Macaca mulatta: one gene and its partner. The protein of the gene in region 1 purifies or fractionates together with the protein of each later gene. This does not show direct contact. Links are inferred from orthologs where the notes say so. Each region holds a gene or a part of one and is shown on either strand. Other genes may lie near its edges.

Region 1 (9,808 bases):
ATGGGAGTAGGTAGGCTTCTGAATTAAAAGGACATGACATTTCCCTCCAAAATGTTAATGCCTAACTGTAGGATAGCCAAAAGAGAAAGGGTTACTAAACAAAGAAAACCCAAACAAATACGATATGCCATAGAACAAGTGTGGGCAGGAAGTACAAAATCGAACTTTAGTATTATCAGTACTAGTAGTAAGAAATTCATTATAAAACACTACATTAAGGTACATCTTATTTCTTGTTTAATCTACAGGCCTATAGTAAAACCATGCCTAAAATGGAAAAATCTTCTAATAGTTCAACATTCACTGCAAGAGAAGAGGGCAGATTGCAAATCTTATAGGCAGCCCATGACACCCACATAAAGGACCGAGGCCCTGTCATTCAATTTCCTTTGGCAGCCTTCTAGGTATTGGGAAAGGGCACATTGTTCAAATTTCTTACATATTCTTCATATGTTTCTGGTGCAGGAGGTGGAGGCAAAGGTATCCTCTGGATGCCCGCTGTCCGTGCTCTTGGTGCTGGAGCACCCCTCACAGTAGGTGGGGGTGGCACGCCTCGAGTCACAGTGGCACCTCTGGTGATGGCTCCCCTTACTGGTGTACCACGTACCAAAGCCCCCCGAGGTGGTCCAACACCACGGCCCCTACAAAATGAAAGTTTATTTTAAATGGAGCTTTTTATAAACAGACTTTTATGTTCTGATTTGTTTATAAATTCTGGAGTTAAGCAGATTTCATGAAGCGTTAACTATTATTAAAGCACGGAGGAATGTACAGGGTAAAGGACCCACACTGCAAGATCCCCCAGGTCCTACAGTGGACCAGGTCATCACTGCACTGCCTTGGGTAGGTCTGGAGAGTCTGAATACTCCATAAAGGTCAGTCACAAAAGGTAGAATTTTAAAGTCAGACCATTAAAAAATGCTAGGATTGTCCAAAATTAGAAGACCAAAAGTTTCAGCTAGACTGCAGCACTTGGCTATCGTCCAAGTGCCCAAGAGCTAGAACTCTTTTTTTTTTTTTTGAAATGGAGTCTTGCTCTATCACCCAGGCTGGAGCGCAGTGGCATGATCTTGGCTCACTGCAACCTCTGTCTCCTGGGTTCAAGCAATTCTCTTGCCCCAGCCTCCTGAGTAGCTGGGATTACAGGTGTATAGCACCACACCCGGCTAATTTTTGTATTTTTAGTAGAGACTGGGTTTCGCCACATTGACCAGGCCGGTCTCAAACTCCTAATGTCAGGTGATCTGCCTGCCTTAGCCTCCCAAAATGCTGGGATTACAGGCGTGAGCCATCATGTCTGGTTGTAGAATTCTATTCTCGATGCAAAGTACAAATCCTGAGAACCTTCCTAAGTGAGACATAAGAGCACCACTAAAAGAGATGATACTAGTAGTCAAATTTACATCTTATTTCTGGGTGTCTCCATTATTTTTACCTGGGAACAGGTGGTGGAGGTGGTGCAGCTCCTCGGCCTCTCACTGGCACCCCACGTCCACGAGAGGGTTCAGGTACTCCATTCAAGTAGGACAGCTCTAGAAATTGCTCCTGGCAGATATCATCCATCATGTCCTGGGAATGAAAGATACGAGTATTGTGTAATATCTACAGTTTCTACTGAGAAACCATCCGGCCCATGGGAGCCTTGAATTCTAAGAACAGCTTTGAGAGCCCAGATGAGGTCTCACATCATTCATTCTCTGAAGTCAAATGGCACCCTACCTGTCACCTCTTTGAGAAAAGTCTTTTTTTTTTTTTTTTTTTTGAGACGGAGTCTGGCTCTGTCGCCCAGGCTGGAGTGCAGTGGCCAGATCTCCGCTCACTGCAAGCTCCGCCTCCCGGGTTCGCACAATTCTCCTGCCTCAGCCTCCCGAGCAGCTGGGACTACAGGCGCCCGCCACCTCGCCCGGCTTATTTTTTTTTGTATTTTTAGTAGAGACGGGGTTTCACCGTGTTAGCCAGGATGGTCTCGATCTCCTGACCTCGTGATCCGCCCGTCTCGGCCTCCCAAAGTGCTGGGATTACAGGCTTGAGCCACCGTGCCCAGCCGAGAAAAGTCTTGACGGCAGACTCCTCATTATTCATAATGTGCTCCCTGCCTAGCTCTCTGGATCACTTCCATTCGTTCTATATATATAAAACCTCCCCACAAGCCACACTGAACAACTTGTAGTTCAGAGCCTGGCATACTCTTACACATCCATTCTTTGCAAATAGTTTCCTCTTCCTGGAATAATAAAAGCCACTACCATTAATGGAGCTGTATGCACTTGGCTCCATATAATAAACTTTATATAGACTTTTCAGTTTTATCTTCAAAATGTCCCTGAAGTAGGCAGATCTCCACATTTTACAGTTAAGAAAACAGACTCAAAGAGTATACATCAACCAGCTTAAGAACATAGAGCTAATAAATGGCAGACTCTAGATGTGAATTCAGAATTACCTGTCTCAAAATCTAGGTGTTGGATCAACAGGCTTTTTTGTCCTTATACTGTCTTTTTTGTCCACCTGAGGGATTCTTAACTCATCCTTGTAAGACTTGTCTAAATAAGTGTCTCTTGAAAAACCTTCTCTTGATGCCATTCCTACAACTCCTCTTTTCTCAAAGTACCACATAATTCCCTACATGCAAGCACTTACCACATCATTTTAGAATTGTCTGTCACTAAACTGTAAGCTCTTCAGGAGCCATTTTTGTAACTTTACACCGAAGCATAGTATCAGACATCTGACAGATATTTAAGAAATGTTTGGATGAAAAACCTGAAGTTCAGAAAAATGAAATGATAACCTGTCCAGGAAGACATACAGAGACAGATATACATGGTCCAGTGCTCTTTCTACTGCACTGTGAGGCATTACTGGTATAATTAATTATTTTAAGGGGAAAATGGAGGGCTCTGGTCACAGATGCAAAAATAATCTCACTTTTTTTTCCTCCACAAGAGGGAAAAATCAAGCCAAATGCCATTTGCAAATCTTTTCACACTTCCTGTTGAGAGCCATTCAGTCTTAATACTTCATGCATTTTTACACATCCCAGATGTATACAGTTTCCATAGATGATGCTAGTCTTTGATGCCCCCCTCAATTGTCCGGCTCCTCCTACCTTACACATTACTGCTGCTTGAGACTCACACATTGGAGAATCAAGTAACTAATGCCAGACCATTCCTCAGACTCCTCCAACTACCACAGCAACACTGAGGAAACCCCCATCTCCCCGGCAGGCATCTTTTTCAAAAGATTCACTTACATGGAAGCCTCATAAACCTAAGCCTTCTGAGGAATATGAGGGAGACTAACAATAAAGAGAGAAGATGGGTATTCCCTCTGCAGTCCTTTGGAAATTGAATGCTTGGGTGATCAATAGAACACCCCAAAAAGAGTAAAAAGAATTCCCTTGAGTAAGATTAACCAGCTGTGTTTTTCTCTAGGATATGTCAAATGGTCTGTTTCACGTCGAACATTCTAATGAAGATGAGGTACTTGAAAGCAAAGCAGCTGCGAAGACATTTGAGACTGTTGGCATCCTTGGAGTTCAGCATTACGGGTACAAAATGCCTGAAATTTTTATTTTCTTTGGAAAAGGAGTTTTACTCTTGTTGCCCAGGCTGGAGTCCAATGGCACAATCTTGGCTTACCGCAACCTCTGCCTCCTGGGTTCAAGCGATTCTCCTGCTTCAGCCTCCTGAGTAGCTGGGCGCTACCACGCCCAACTAATTTTTAGTAGAGACGGGGTTTCACCACGTTGGTCAGGCTGGTCTCGAACTCTCGACCTCAGGTGATCTGCCCACCTCGGCCTCCCAAATTGTTGGGATTATAGGCGTTACCCACCGTGTCCGGCCCACACTGCCTATAAATTTTTGCTCTATCAATTTTCACATCCTCTGACACTACATTTAGTTCCAACTCCCTCATTTAACATTCAAGAAAACCAAGGACTGTATCTTACCACCTCTCAGTTTTCTGATGAACACATGACACTTACTCAATTCTAGTTGAATAATATTCCAAATCCTTCATAAGCTTCCAGATTCATCCTTGTTATTAAATATTCAACAGTAGTATGTTAACTCTGACAACCACCTGGCCTTGCTAAAAGGCAAAAACAGTACCATTTCCTATTTATTCAAAGTAACGTTCCAACCAAGTATTTAAAGATAGTAATAAGCAAGATAGATAAACTGGCCTGTCCTATCTCTATCTAGTCCTCAGTTATAGTCTGAAAAAAGCTGCTCACCAATCTGTGAAACATCAACAGTCAACCTCTTCCAAACCAAACTCATCCTCAGCAAACTCCTCCAGGAAAGAAATCCCTGAGTGTGCTCAGAATTTAACTCAGTAACACTAGATGTTATAAGCTTCTTGCTGTTAGCCTCTACTCTCTACAGCATAAACTTCTTGAGTGCAGGGACGCACCTTAGTCACCTTCTTAATACAATCTCCTTGTTCCACACTACTACCAAAATACTCAGCTAGGTGAAGACCCTGTTAAACCGTAGTTAACCAAGTATCAGAATGCAGGCACATTGTGGACCCGAGATACTGACAACAGATACCGATACACAATGACTACCACATTAGACAAGGAGGGACAGAGTGGCCTTGGAGCATAATGCTTGGAGAACTAGGTACAAGCAATGAACTACCGCAGGAAAATGAACATAAATGCAGAATTTGGTATACATACAGGTTATGCAGAGACCTTAGTTAAGAAACCCTACCTTCACAACAGCATAAGATCCCAGTTCTCTTTTGCTCAGAAGACACAGGATATGGATTTCCTTACCGGTACTAGAAATTTCTTGACTTCCTCCATGGCATGGGCCATAAGAGCATAAGCCTCACATGGGGGTCCAAAGACTTCAATGAAGACATGCAGATCCATATTCAAGTGGGCATATTTGGGGTCTCCACCTTTGCGCAGCTCTTCCTCCTATGGAAAAATGCAGAGAAACGTCACACCACATGGACTAGGGAGAAAACAACACCTTTACCTCTAAGCCAAAGGAACAGCAAGAAATATCCCCAATGTCTAATTAAACTAACAGTAAAGTTTAATTGGTATGAGCTGAGAAGAATTTAAAAAAAAAAAAAAGAAAGAAAGAAAAACAGTAAAGTTTAAGAAAGTAAAACAAGCAGCCAGGCATGGTGGCTCATGCCTGTAATCCCAGCACTTTGGGAGGCCGAGGTGGGCGGATCACTAGGTCAGGAGTTCCAGACCAGCCTGACCAACGTGATGAAGCCTCACCTCTACTAAAAATACAAAAATTAGCCGGGCATGGTGGTGCTTGCCTGTAATCCCAGCTACTCAGGAGGCTGAGGCAGGAGAATCGCTTGAACCCGGGAGTTGGAGGTTGCGCCACTGCACTCCAGCCTGGGCAAGAGCAAGGCTCCGTCTCAAGAAAAAAAAAAAAGTGAAACAAGCTCTGAAGAACAGTAATTTGCACAGCCTGCTAAACTTGCACATGGTCTGCTGCTAACAGTTAATTGTCATCTTAAATCCCTGAGATATCCACTGGAGCTCTTACTAAAAGCATAAAGAAGAAAAACTTAATTCTAGTCTCTATTCAGATAATAGCTGTGTGCCAAGCATTTGTTTTTAAATCTCAGGTAGAGCTGTTAATCACCACGAGCTCTGCTTATCTGCTTATATGGTCTAGGGAGTGCTAGGGGAAGAAAGAAGTCAGGACAGAGAGAAGAAAAGCTCATGTAAATCTCATTAGCTAGAACAACACACTTCAGCCCTAACTATATGCGTCTAGTAAGAAATGACCTGAGAAAACAAACACGTGTCCATTAGGCTACATAAAAGGAGGATTGAAAGAATAGGTTTTCGGACTGTAGCAGGCATATCTCATCAAATAAAGTGACCCCAGAAGGCTAAGACCATTCTGTTTTGGTGAGAAGTTTCTTGTCACAGAGTACACAGTATATGCGGCTATGGCATGGGAAAAGACTCATTAGATTCTGTAGTCAGGATTACTCATGGCTCCTTTTGGAATACATTCTTTTAGTAAGCCTCACATTCCAGCCGGCTATAAAACAAACCAACTAATCCTCAAACTCTTCTGCTCTCACAACACTATTGTTCTCACTTTTCCAGGTTACAAAAAAGGGGGTGTGCTGTTTGCCTTTTAGTGTCTTTTGTCTGCTTTAGACTAAGTTTTAGTATATCCAGCTCCCCTTTCAAGTTTTCCCAGACAATCCTACCAATGCACAAGATGCTACTGCTCTGTCCATTACTATGCAGTCAAAAGTCCAAAAGAAAACTATCACCAGGGCACACCTAGGCTCTTCCAGGGTTGCCAAGCAAGTAAATTAACTTGGTGTATAATCTCTTGCACCCAATGCACACTTAAAGGAGCCACATTCTGTACATACACAATATTCTTGCCTCTATAAGGCATCTATACTGCATTCTGGGCAAGTAGAAGGCATTAGGATGTCCTCTTGCCTCACTAATGTGAGCTTACCTTGGCTTTGTCTCTCATTGAGCCCTTTCCCAACACAGAGATCTTTGCACCAGTCTCTTCCTGCAGTCTTTTGATTGTATTCCCTTGTGGTCCAAGAATCTTCCCCACAAAATTGAACTGACAGAAAATAAAGGATTTCTAAATATACATGCTACTATATAAAAACATCTCCACATAAATTACCTCATTTGATTTTAAACAACCCTGCAAAGGTAGAGTATTACCATTCCCGTTTTACTGAAGGACGCTGAAGCCATATTAATAAAGTGATTAGTTTAAGATTATGAAACTAGAAAGTGGCAGTTCCTAGACCTGAATTTGGCTTTTCTGATGTATTCTGGCCATCTTCCATAATACACTAAGACCTTTACTATTTTATTTTTTACTTTATTTTGAGACAGGCTCTCACTTTGTTGCCCAGGCCAAAGTGTAGTGACATGATCATGGCTCACCGCAGCCTCGACTTCCTGGGCTCAAGTGATCCTCCCGCCTCAGCCTCTGGAGTAGCCGGGACTATAGGTGCACATCACCATATCAGGCTAATTTTTGTATTTTTTGTAGAGATACGGTTTTGCTATGTTGCTTAGGCTGGTCTTGAATTCCTGGGCTCAAGTAATCTGCCTGCATTGGCCTCCCAAAGTGCTGGCATTACAGGCATGAGCCACTGTGCCTGTTTATGCATGCCTTAACATACATAAACATTGTTAACGCAGTGACCTCAGAGCAGAAGAGACTATATAGCACCCTTTGATAGCACGCTGGATAAACTAAATGTAACTAATTGCTTTCCTAAAAAAAGAAAAAAAAAAAAAGGAAGAAAAAAAGCATTTACTTAAAAGTAAACTTTTAGTAAGAAAATAAAATTAACTTCATCCAATTGAGGATTTGTATTATATTTCCTTTTATTTAGATTTCAGGTTAGTCTTTTGACAGAGAGCAACTCTTCAGGTTTTATTTTTTTTTTTTCTTTGAACTTGTAGCCTGAGCAGTCATTAGAGAAAGAAACTTTTTGATAATAAAAAGATTATTACATTTCCTTCCTGGCTATAACTATGTTTAGTTAAGAACTTAGATATTTCAATTGCCAGAAACAGGTACTGCAAGCATGAAAGAGAAGCTTCACAGGCTTAAGTTTCTAAAGCATCACAATCCCCAGGAGTCCATGACTCTCTCGTAACTATAAAGATAACTCAAAGATGCAAGGCACTTTTTGCCTTACCTTGGGATACTGCTTGACAGGTATCAGCACTCGCTCTTTCAGTTTCATGTTCTTATGAGAAAATAAATCCAAGTAATTCTCTTCATCGTCCTTTTTTGAGTCTCCTTTCTGAATCTTCTCAATTTCTGAACAGGAAAAACAATTTAAATTTTTGCTCTGGTAAATAAAAGCAAATTTTGAAGTCTGCTTAAAGCAATAACATGAAGTACCATATAGTGAGACCAAATAGTACACATGAATGTGCCAATTTCAGAAATAAACTAGCTGAAAGTACTAAAGTTATATGAAGTTGATTAGAAAGCCCAAAGCCTGCTTCTAATAAAAGTAGTGTGCTCTTCTAACCTCACCTGAAGCCTCACGTGAGAATAGAGACATTTAAATGTTTCTTAAATCGATTTAACAAAATTAATTGGGTGAGATGGGGAAAGGAGAATAAAGAAACAAACAAAAAATTAAAATCTGCATCAAGACAAAATATAATCTTACCTTGAAAAAAGCAAAAATCAATAATCTAAATATACAATGGATAGTTCCATTAAAGTTCCACAGTGACATTAGTACTCTAGATACTAGTCCTTAAGAGTCTGAAAGACCTTGTTCTTACTCTGCTACTCACTAGTTGTGTGACGTAAGAGAAGTTAATAAAATATGTAGATATGCCTAATTAAAGGCAATTTTTCATAAAGTACTTAATATATTGTCACCATTATCTAGCCCAAATTCAGCCAATGTCTAAACGATACAAAATGCACCAGGTACTTTTTTGAGACGGAGTTTCACTCCTGTTGCCCAGGCTGGAGTGCAATGGTGCAATCTTGGCTCACCGTAACCTCTGCCTCCTGGGTTCAAGCGATTCTCCTGCCTCAGCCTTCCAAGTAGCAGGGATTACAGGCATGTGCCACCATGCCCAGCTAATTTTGTATTTTTAGTAGAGACGGGGTTTCTCCATGTTGGTCAGGCTGGTCTTGAACTCCCGACCTCAGGTGATCCACCTGCCTCAGCCTCCCAAAGTGCTGGGATTACAGGCATGAGCCACCGCGCCCGGCCCAGCCACAAGGTACTTTCTAAAAAAACATTTTATTGAAGTATAACTGATATGTAAAAACCCATACATAATTAATGTATACAATTCATGATGAGTTTGGAGATAAGTATACACCCATGAAACTATCACCACCATTATGGCCACAGACATATCCATCATCACCCAAAAGTACTTTCAATTCACAGGTTAAGACAGTTTCATTAGATAGAAACTTGGCATACAAAAAGATTTCCTACTGGCCGGGCGCGGTGGCTCAAGCCTGTAATCCCAGCACTTTGGGAGGCTGAGACGGGCGGATCACAAGGTCAGGAGATGGAGACCATCCTGACTAACACGGTGAAACCCCGTCTCTACTAAAAAATACAAAAAACTAGCCGGGCGAGGTGGCGGGCGCCTGTAGTCCCAGCTACTCGGGAGGCTGAGGCAGGAGAATGGCGGGAACCCGGGAGGCGGAGCTTGCAGTGAGCTGAGATCCGGCCACAGCACTCCAGCCTGGGTGACAGAGCAAGACTCCGTCTCAAACAAACAAAAAACAAAACAAAAACAAAAAAAAAAGATTTCCTACCATTAAGGAACTTCATTCATTGAGTGACTGCAAGTGTTTGAGTGCTTCCTACGGTATGGAGAGGCAGATGAAGGGAGAGCTATAATAGGTACAATCATTAATCACTATGGAGGACTTACTAAGAGCCAGGCATCTGTCTTGCAAAGCACAGGAGATACAACAGAGCGAGTCAGACTGGTCTCTGTCTTCACTGTTTATATACTGGAGTTCCCAGACTATAGGGGTGGCAATGAAGTATAGTTAAGTGCTATAACAGGAGTTCTAACAGAGATGAGGGAAAAGTGCCCAAGGAATGAGCAGCAACTGAAAGCTTATATGATTCACTGAGAATAGTTAAAATACATATACTCCCTAAAATCAGTGGAACATTCTAAATATCAGAAAATACTCTGTAATAGAATATCACATAATATTCCCATGTTCTAGAATTTTAAGACTAGGGTTCCCAAACTTCTTCATGCATCAGAATCACCTAGAAGAGGGCTTATTAAACTAGACTG
Region 2 (10,568 bases), on another chromosome or scaffold:
TCTGTCTCACCCCTCAAGACCCAGCCCTTCTCCCATCCACCACCATGGCATCCCCACCCTGCCTCAGCAAGAAGGTCTTATCTGGGCCCTCATCAGTTCTCTCCTGCAAACTGGAGGAGCTCACTGGCCTCCCTCCCCAACACCTGCCTGACAAACCACTGCCACTGTGGTCTCCCAGACAGAGGCAAGTCAGTCCCACTACAGCCTCTGCTGACTCCCGCTGCCTCCAGAACTGAGTGTAATCTGCTGGGCACGGCACGCCAGGGCTACAGCTGTCTCCAACCAGTCCCAGCCTCCTCTCTACCACACCAACTCTGTTCCCTACCCCTGCACGGAGTGATTCCCAGTTCCTCAGCCTCGGCACAGGCAGGTGCCTCCGTAATTCAAGGCCCACCTCAAAGGTCACCTCTCCTTTAATGCCTTCCTGGCAGAGCTCCTCACAGTTCTTGGCAGAGGCTTTTATATTATGGCATGTAACACACAGGGTTATAATCACATGCCTCTACATCTGTCTATTCCAAGAGTTCCTCAATGGCACAAACCATGTCTCAATAAACTTTTGAATCCTTGCTGCCTAGCACTGGGTGAATTGGAGGTATAATAATACTTATTGCAAATATTAATAAATGTGCCTCATTCCAAGAAGCTACCCAGAGCAAAGCTGGTAGTCAAGATCTCTAAACTCCAACTGAATCCTGTGCATCTATGTACACATACACGCAGAGTCCGGAGAGAAGCTGGAGGTGTTGTGGGTCCCAGGACTGGGTGTGCTCAGCTCCTCCAGTTATCTGTGAAGCAGGCCCTTTTCCTAGGTTCACAGGAAACAGAGGATCCCAGCTGGGCGGGGGGCCTGGAAACCCACACATCAGGGCAAGCCTGGGGTGCTGAGGAAACACTAAAAGGTCTGACTTCCCTTGGAAAAAACTACATTCAGACAGGAAACACACAGGCAGGGATGGCTAGCTCTGGAGATCCGGACATGTGCTCTTGCCCCTCTCCCACTGGGAGTAACAGCCAGTACAAAGAAAACCCTTGATGACACCGGCCTGGGCCTTGCCCTCTCCCGTGCTGTGGGCCTAGCCCTCGGAGCAGACCTCCTGGTGTGGTCTGCTCCCCAGCCACAGGGGTCAAGCCCCAGCCAGCTGGTTCCACTACTACCTCCCTTCTGAGCCCACCTGCCTCATCAAGGCGGTTAGCTGTTTTCTTCCGCCACCCTCACCCTCTTCATCAAAGGTACTGCTCACAATTGTCATTGCCTGTTTTCGTTTCCCTAAAAGCAAGCACCCATATTCATTTACCTGAGAGGGCCTGGCATCTAGAAAAGTATCTAGTGAAGAATCAGCCAAAGACAGAAGATTAGGCCCCAGAAGTCCCCAAGGACATGCTCAGTCAGTATTCACAGAGTACCTCCAGTGTCTACACCAGTGTTTACTGGGCCCACAAAGACCCTCAAATGGACAACCTCATTAAACACGAGTCTGAACCATCTCAACTCAGAAGACACCAGAAGAAAAAGTGTGGAGCCAGAGCCTAGAGAGGCTGAGGCTGTCTTGGGATACCAAAGCCAAAGCGGTCTTTGCCCTGTAATGCACGGCCTGAGCACAAAGGTGTCTCACAGAGGAGCCACGTAGATCACAGGGAACATGGTCTTGGGGTTGCTAGTCAGCCACTGACTAGTGAGCTGGCCCCAGCTGAGGCCCTGGCACACACTGACACTTACAACACCTTGGGCACAAACGATTCTCCATTTCCATTTCCTCATCTGTAAAATGGGACGAAAGGTCTCGATAGCACTCAGCTGGAACTCTACGTAACTGAATTTTATTCATTTATGTCAGTATCTGCAACATAAAAGGCCAAACACCAACCTGGTTCCTGTCATACCACCAGGACAACCAAACTTGTCAACACCTAAGCACTTCCCCACCCCGCCTTTGAGCCAAATGACCACCCTAGAAATCAGCAGGTGTCAGCTCCATTTCACAAGTGCTGACGCGAGAGGGCACAGAGTCAGGGCAGAAATAGGTCTTACATATGAGTGCTCCTTAAACCACACTGTCTCTCCCTCAGGTCCACCGACACCCTGAAGGTAGCACAGTGTCTCTCTCTTTGGCCGGGCTTCAGGCACTGCTGGTACCCTGGTAGGGTCAGCAGGAAAGGCCAGATACTTGAGGCACTTGGGCAAGAGTCCAGGTGGCAGAAAACCCGGCTGGCAGTCCAACCTCCTCAGAGGCCGCAGGAATCAGAACCTACCAACAAGGAGAGCCCATGAATGGACAGAAACAGGGCAGGCTTCAGTGGAAGCCTCCATTAGTAAAGTCTGAACACACAGGCATCAACCAGACTTTTCATCCAGGCTCCTTTCAATTTGAGTCCCCAAAATCCAAGACCCAGGGTCCTCCTACATCCTTTGCCTACCCTCCAGGCCTGTCAAATCCTAGCTAACTGATGAGATCACTGAATGTGTACACCTCTGGCTGACCCACCTGCTCACTGCTGGGTAGGGGGTTATCAGGTCCTCTGTGTGCCTGCCTCCATCCCCCAAAGACCTGAGGCATGATAGATCATGCCCTCTCTGCACCCCTTTTCTGTTCAGGCCCCAACTTACGAACAAGAAAGGTTACACCCAGGAGTCAAATGTGCACAACTCCAAACACTTTCTCTAAAGAAACACTGTTTTACATGGTGGGTGGGTGAGTGGGCACATGGGTTGAGGCAAAACAAAACCGTTTCCTGCCTTTTTCTGAGTAGCAGTCTAAGTGAAATGTGAATTTGGTCACCATCCTCCTCCCTTCCTGCACCTTCACCCTTACCTCCAGCCACACCTCACCCCCTCACCATTCCCAGTTGAGGGTCTTGAAGGGCAGCCATGGTCTATTGTTAATGTTATTACTAATAACAGCTCACATTTATTAAACATTTATGTGTCAGACAATGCTAGATATTTTTACATGAATTGTCTCATTTGATCCTGGAGCAACCATATATAGTGGATATATTACTACCCCCATTTTACAGATGAGGAAATCAAGACTCAGAGAAGGTAAGTAACTGGCTGGGAAACATACAACAAATATATGGGCTTCAAATCCAGACTTGCCATCAACCACTGTGCTACATTTATTGCCTGCTAATATGCATGGTTTAAAATGCAGTCTGTTACCCAGGAGATCTCTTGAGAACTTTCAGCCAGTGCCACCAACTCAACACAGCATAGGGAGCAAGGAAGGGGACCATGCCTGGAGTCTGATGCCTGAGTGACGTTCCCAGGATTATCTCAGCTCTTTGCAGTGCCCATCCTTCCTCTACTTTGGAATCCACAGGCTCTCAAGTCACTAAAATATTCTCCCAGTGGCTGACAGGGTCAGTGGGGGCACTGAGGAAGGCGGCTGCCATTTCTAAGTTGAGCAGCTGCGTTAGATCTGTGTCAGATCTGGAGTTTGTAGCTGAGGATGGCTGGCTGCCTCACCACAAGACCTTCCTTCCTCCCAATCTCCTCAACCATCTACACACATGCACACCATACCCAAGAAGGTTTGTGGGACCCCCCCTTTGGGGTGTCACTTCCTGATCCCCCTCCTTCACACAGACCTGGTTCTGAGCCCGGGTCTCTCTAACCCCAGTCTCCGGGGGTCCCTGCAAGAAGCAACCTAGTCTGGAGTTGCAGACACACCATCTCTTCACACTGAGAGGCGGGGGAATGGAGTGGCAAAGCAGAGTGCCCATCCGACCACAGCACAGGCACGCGCTAAGTGGAACAACTCTCAAAGATCTGGGGTTTTTCAAAATCCCCCAACTCCCTCCTCCCACTACAGACCAGCACAAAAGCAGCCAAGCTCAGGCCTGGGAAGGCGAAAAGGCAGGAAACCAAGAGAAGCCGCTCCCGCTCCCTGAAGCCACCGGACAGAGGACAAAGGGCTAGACTCCAAACTAGCTGCACTCCTGAGAAGAGTACCTGACTCCAAGGCGCTGGGGCAGGCCTTTATGGGGCCCATCTTCTGGGAACGTGCTTCCCAGGGCAAGGGGAGTCCCTGTTCTGGCACTGAGTGTCTGCCCACCCACATAGGCTTCCAAAACTCAGCTTTGGGACAAAAGTAGCATTAAAAACAAAACAAAACAAAACAAAAACAAAAAAAACAGCCACTGCCTTCTCTCAGGCTTCTCCAAACCAAACAAGACCACCTTCCTCCCTCTCCCCCAGAGGGAGATGAGTAGGCCCGGCTCTGCTCCAAGACCAGCCCTACCCAACATCTGCCTAAGTTCTACTTAGGGAACCCAAAGGTTCCTTTGCAACCAAGAGCCCAGCCTGGGGGCCCGGAGAGTTTCACAGACTGCTCTTTCTGGAAAAAGAGTGGTGGGCGGGGACCGTCTGGTCAGGCCCCAGGTTCCCGTGCTGGGTTGGGGCCGCTGCCTTAGCTCCCCTCAACGATGCCACCACCACTCCCAGGGTCTGGGGGGGCCCGATGCCCGCACCGCAGATCTCCAGCCCGCGAGGATTTTTAGGCCTCAGGGCAAAGCTCCAGGAACAGTAACTCCCCCCAGCTGGGGGAGGGGGTGTCCTGTCAGGTGACCGAGGACCCGGATGCCCCCCGCCCCCAGTGACCACCCGAGACGAAGCGGGGGCGGGGCCCCGAGGGGGTGGGGGAAGGCCCGAAAGTTTGCCCAAGTCGCTGGGGCGGCCGGCCGGGGCGCAGGCAGTTGGGCCGGGCTCCCACGACCCTAGCGCGCGGCGGGCCCAAGCAGGAAGGGGGCGCACTTACTGGCCCCCTCTATCTTGTCGGCGCCCCGGCTCCACGTGATCTGGCGCGTCTCCAGCTTGACCTGGAAGGTCTTCCGCTCGGGTCGCTGCGACTTCTTGGAGTAGAACAAAGTCATGACGGTGCCCACCTCGAGGCTGCGGCAGAGGTGCAGCACCTCGGCGTCCGAGGGCGCGCCGGGCCCGCAGCCGTTGGCGCAGGGGGATGCGGCGCCCGCCATGGCTCCGACGCTGGGGGCGGCGACGGCACAGGCCGGGACGGCCCGGGAGCAGGCGCAACGACGCCGGCTGAGGTTGGGGCTGAGGCTGAGGCGGCCGACGAGCGGGACCCGGCGGCTGCTCCTGCAGGCGGACACGGGGCGGGGCCTGAGCGCGGCAGGGCGGGGCGGGGCGGCCCTGAGGCCCCGCCCCGCTCGCGCGCCGGGAACAAAGGCGCCCGCGCACCCGTGGGGAGGACCCCCGCCCGCCGGCCCGCTGCGCCTGCGCCCCACGACCCCCAGACAGGCCGCAGGCGGGGACGGAGGCTCGATGGCGGCGGGAGCGCGCGCCGTTCCCGGTCGACCCACCCAGCCCTCAGTCCCGCAGAGCTTTCTCACGCAGCCCCGGACACAGCCCGGCGGCCACGAGCGGCCCTGTCACGCACGGCAGCCCCGCCCACAGGCCGCAGGCCCCGCAGCCGGCGCGCCAGTCAGGCGTACTCGCACGGGCGTCTGCCAGCCCGCGGTCCCGCACAGACGCAGCCCCCGCGTCCCGAACACCGCCCATGCAGCGACCAGGACGGGACGCGAGGAGGTGGCGCGTCCTCCGGGCATGCCTGGCCAAACCCAGTTACCTGGGCGGGCTTCCCGGCGAAGGGAGCCAGGCCGGGCCGCCTCACACCGGCGGTGGCAGCGGGTTCTCCGCGCGCCCTCTCCTGAGAGGGGCGGGGGCGGGGCCGCCTGCGGATTGGCCGCAGGCACTGATGGACAGCCGACATGTCCCGCCCCCCGGCAGCGCGGGGCTGGCCCCTGGCCGCTCTTGGGACGGCCAGACCCACGTCTGTCTGTTCCGCCTCTGCTGCCAGGGTGGCCTTCAGTGGTCCTTTCGTTCGGAGAGTTCCCCCCAGCCCCTTGCAGGGGCGTTAAGTCCGCGGCCGCGCTGCCCAGCGGCCTGACCTGCAGCTCCCAGGGCCTTTGTGTCTGTCCTTCGCATGGGCCTCTGTACGCTCCGTCTCCACGCGGCGGGACTGGAGTCTGATCCCGGGCGCCCCTCCTGCAAATGCTCTCCTGAACTTTGATTTTCCCCGCCTTACTTTCCTCCTCCTCCTGTGGCCGCTGCTTCTCGATCTCAGAAGCTTCTCTTCCTCTGCACTCAGTGCTAGGCCAGATCCCAAGGCGACCTGACCTTTCCCCTGGCTTTACCCGCCACACAGGCACCGATGACTCGAAACCTGCATCTCCCCTACGTTCCAGGCCCCAGCATCCCACTGCATGTGCCACATCCCCCCACCTTAGACAGCTCACCTTCCCTCCCCAAACGGTTCTTTCCAGTCTTCACTTTCTCAGAACGTGGCGCTAAACTCCTCTAAGTTGGAAGGCCAAAAACCTTGCAGATAACTTTGCTCCCTCTGCCTCACCTCCAATCCATCAAGATCTGTTCACTGAACCCACAAGCTGAAGGCCCCATCTCCTGTCACCCAGACTATTCACTTTTGTTTTGCCTGGATCTATTCTCCATGCTTTAAGTCTTTACAATGAAATTAAATAATGATCCCCTACATCCAGCCTAGAACCCTCCATGAATTCCTATTGCACCTAAAATCCACACTCGCTGCTTGGCCTAGCAGGTTCTATATGACCTGCCCATCTCACCAGTTTCATCTCTCACAAGTGATCCTTCGCTCTCCATTCTCCAGCCACAAGGCCTTTTTCTGGTTATGGAATAATTCATACTCTTCGTCTTTCTGAAGCCATTCTTGAAACTCACCCCTGCAATCTATCTGCCGCTGTCAGCACCGCCAAAATTGAGGACACCAACGGTCGCAGTGGAGTCTGATATGTTGAGCCAGGCAGTGGGTCGGCTGCCAGACACAGCAGGACAACTTACTGCATTTCAGAGGTGAGAAGCCCAACAGAGCTTCCAGCTGATGCCAGAGAAAGAGCCAGGCTTCCTGGGATTTGTGGGATAGTAGGACTAGAGTTTGTAAGTATGTAAGAGTGTGTGCTCAGGCAACCTACTCAGCTGGATAGTGACCTGGGGCTGCTGCTTCTGACTTTGTCTTGCTGTAGTGGAAACTTGTGTGTTTCGTTGATATCCTCAAGTGCATCCCCTAAGAAGCTCAGAATTCAGCATGACTTTGAGACACTTTGTCCTAGCCAGCTTCTTTGGCCTAGGGAGCGGTGGGGTAGCTGAGATGGACTGCCACCTAGTGGCAGGCCTTTACGTGGGCGGGAGGGAGCTGGCATAGACCCTGTGCTGAAGGCATGCACCTGTGGTCACACCTGATCTCATAATTATCCTCTAATGAGGAATGATGGTCTGCAGTTTACTGATGAGAAACAGATTCAGAGAAGTTCTACAATTTGCCCCAAAGCCCCATAACTAACATAACTAGGTGGGAATTAGAACCAAGTCGACCTGACTCCATGAGTTTTCTGCCTCACAGGAGATCCACTGGCTTAGGTAAGTCCTGGTGGTCAGTAGTCAGTGGGCATGGAGGCTCTGGTTAATCAGCATGGGTGAGGGGAGGCATGCTCACTGCTGGCCTAGGGCACAGGGAAATCCAGCAGAACGTGAATGCTCACAGAGTGTGGCTTGAACTGGCTTAGGCTTAAAGTTCTGTGGACCCTGCTCTTCCCTGTGTTGGGCCTTGACAACATGAGTTAGGAGCACAAGAGAGACCCAGCGCCAGCTCTCCGGGAGTTCAGACATTAAACACTCTGTTACATAAAGACAATTGTGATGAGGGCTAGGAGGAAAAACATTGGGTCGAGATCTCTTCAGACCGCAGCAGAGGTCTAAAGGAAGTGAGTCAATGGCGAGGTGAATTATTAAAGGTGGGTTGGAGAAAAATACGTTCCAAGTAGAGGTAACAGCATGTACAAAGGCCCTGAGGCCAGGAAGAGGTTTGAATTTAGGGTTACAAAGCTAGAGTTTCCTAACTGAGGAGGGGATAGGGAGTGATGAGGCCAGGAAGGCGGGCAGGGGCTGAATGGGGCCCCTCTCTGGCTGTCTGATTCTGTTTTTTACAGGAGGCACCCTCCTAAGTGCTGCAGCCCTCGTTGAGCTTCCCATGCTGACAAAGGCAGCCTGTGGGCTCGATACACTTTTTAAATCTGTTTCTCCATTTTTTTGGGGGAGCTTCCTAATGTGCAGGGTAAGTCTTCCTTGCTTTTACTTTTGCCTCTGGGGCTGGACCTCCAGGGGCTCAAGAAATCCCTGCCAACAAGAGCTTGAGTTTTCAGCCCATTGCCAGGCCTGTAATCAGAGAACAGGGCCCATTTCCTCCTGGGACTTCTGGGCCAGCATCCCAGGCCTCAGTTGCCTGCTTCCACCAAAGGAGGTGCAGGAAAAACAGGGCATGCAGAGGGTGTGGTCTGTGTGGGCTTCCCCCAGCTCAGCATATATATGGGTGTGTGGGTGTGAATGGCAATACGTGCAGCTGCGCTGTCTGGGAGGAGCAGCCCAGCACCCACACAAGGCACACGCCTGTGACGTCACCCAGGCTAGCCCGCTCAGGCCTATTTCTGTGAGCATGCATGCTTCAGCATGCCTTGGCCTACACTGTACCTGTGCCCGTGCCCAGAGTCTGGGGAGAGTCCCAGCCCAGCTGCCCCTCGGGACCTGTGGGTTTGGCCTCACAGCTGTTTATTAAATGACCACTTAGAACAGTGGTTGGTGTATAGTAAACACTATGGAACTGCTTTATCCACATTGTCTCATTTCTTCCTCATTACAGCCCTATAAGTGCTCTTATTACCCCCATTTTCCAGATGAAAAAACTGAGGCACAGAGCTAAAAGGCAGGATTGAAACCCAGGTAGTCTGGCCCCAGAGTCAGTGCTGTTTTGCTTCCCATGTATGTATGAACACTTTATTGTATATCCTCTCTCCTTTGTAAAATACCCCTACCTGATGTATTTTCTTTTTTTTTTTTTTTTTGAGACAGAGTTTCTCTCTCGTCGCCCAGGCTGGCGTGCAATGGCGCAATCTCGGCTCACTGCAAACTCCGTCTCCCAAGTTCAAGCAGTTCTCCTGCCTCAGCCTCCTGAGTCTCTTTTGATTCAGTGCTGTCACAGGTTGGGTTCTTTGGATGCGGACTCTGTGACAGGTTAGTGTGCAGCATGTTTATTAGGGAGTGCTCCTGGGATCAACACTCAGGGAGGTACTGGAAAGAAACAGGAGTGGGCACAGGGCAAACTAAACGGAGACGCACGCCTGATGACAGTCTCAGCCAACCCCCAGGATCTCTTGTCTGGCACTAGCCTGGAAAGGAGTTGTAATGTCCTGGGAAGAGCCTAGCCTGGGCCAGACGGCACTCTGCAGCCAAGGTGATCTTTGAGGGGCTGGCAGCTAAAGATTTTCTGCTGACAGCTCTCCCAATAGTTGGGTCAACAAGTCCTTCCTTGAAGGGGATCTGGGTGGCACATTGCTATGCCTACCACAAATGTATTCTTTTTCAGCCCTTTAAAAAAAAGCTTTGAGTACTTAAAAATAGAGAACAAAATATAGAAATAGGAGATGAGATTATAAGGAGGAGGATGATAATATGGTTTATGGGTTAACGTAGCTGATGTGATTGAGAATTAAACATGGCTGAGCTTCCTGATAGCCAAAACAATAACACTTTCTATCTGTTAACTGGTTCTTTGGAGTAAAAAAAAAATTCTGGGGTTAAATTATAAAAGAAGTTTCTCACCTGGATACTTATTTAATTGAAATAGTGGAGAATGTTCTCAACTGATTAATAGCAAATACTGATGCCATTTTCATTTGTTCCTTGTAATGGCTTTGAGTGAATATCGAAGGCATAATATACAAGTATAGCGTATAGCTCAGTGAAGCCCTTTTCACATTAGAAGGGAACAGATTTATAGTCTTGCAGTGTCTAATTTGATCCACGTGTAGAACATTGTCCTTTTCCTTTAAACCATTCTTTTTTTTTTTTTTTTTTTTTAACTCTTATTGCCCAGGCCAGAGTGCAGTGGCACGATCTTGGTTCACTGCAACTCCCGCCTCCCGGGTTCAAGCAAGTCTCCTGCCCCAGCCTGCTGAGTAGCTGGGATTACAGGCACGTGCCACCATGCCCAGCTAATTTTTTGTATTTTTAGTAGAGACAGGGTTTCATCATGTTGGCCAGGTTGGTCTCGACTTCTGACCTCAGGTGATCCACCCGCCGCAGCCTCCCAAAGTGAAGGGATTACAGGTGTGAGCCACTGCACCCAACCTAAACCATTCTTTAATTTTTAGTCAGTTTCTCATGTTAGACATCTGAACAGCCCCTCCTCTGGGTTTGTGAGCCAGCCTGCACCTCAGCATACAGCCAGTATTCCTAAGAACTAACAGTGTACCTTGAACTCCACCCACAACCTGCTGTTTAGGCTCCTGACCCCTGGCCCCCAAATCTGTCTGTGGCTCCAACTTAGTTGTCAGGCCTCACACTTCTTAGGTCATGTCCACCTGCTTTCCTCCTCACCTGGGATGTATTATCTGTCCCTCAAGAGCCTCGTGTTTTCTCTCAAGGCAAAATCACACCTGGCTCAGCTGCTCCCAGGGACTGCTCTCTCCATCGACCTTGGTGTATCTCTGCTGATTGGCCCCTGTAGTGGGACCCA

Evidence for each region. Proteins that work in one complex are often made in the same cells at the same time.
Region 2: the proteins of KHDRBS1 (region 1) and PLCG1 purify together in Homo sapiens (affinity purification with western blotting; 7 studies listed by BioGRID and IntAct, with this or other methods). This does not show direct contact. The link is inferred for Macaca mulatta from reciprocal best matches to the Homo sapiens genes KHDRBS1 and PLCG1.

What each region holds. Positions count from the first base shown.
Region 1 is NC_133406.1:208,845,224-208,855,031, forward strand, and holds part of KHDRBS1 (KH domain-containing, RNA-binding, signal transduction-associated protein 1), read right to left. Parts: intron 7,824-9,808; coding exon 7,699-7,823; intron 6,597-7,698; coding exon 6,480-6,596; intron 4,940-6,479; coding exon 4,793-4,939; intron 1,570-4,792; coding exon 1,436-1,569; intron 642-1,435; coding exon 440-641; intron 1-439. UniProt on the Homo sapiens protein: Recruited and tyrosine phosphorylated by several receptor systems, for example the T-cell, leptin and insulin receptors. Once phosphorylated, functions as an adapter protein in signal transduction cascades by binding to SH2 and SH3 domain-containing proteins.
Region 2 is NC_133415.1:93,996,428-94,006,995, reverse strand, and holds the start of PLCG1 (1-phosphatidylinositol 4,5-bisphosphate phosphodiesterase gamma-1), read right to left. Parts: upstream 5,657-10,568; 5' UTR 5,589-5,656; intron 5,099-5,588; 5' UTR 4,978-5,098; coding exon 4,761-4,977; intron 1-4,760. UniProt on the Homo sapiens protein: Mediates the production of the second messenger molecules diacylglycerol (DAG) and inositol 1,4,5-trisphosphate (IP3). Plays an important role in the regulation of intracellular signaling cascades.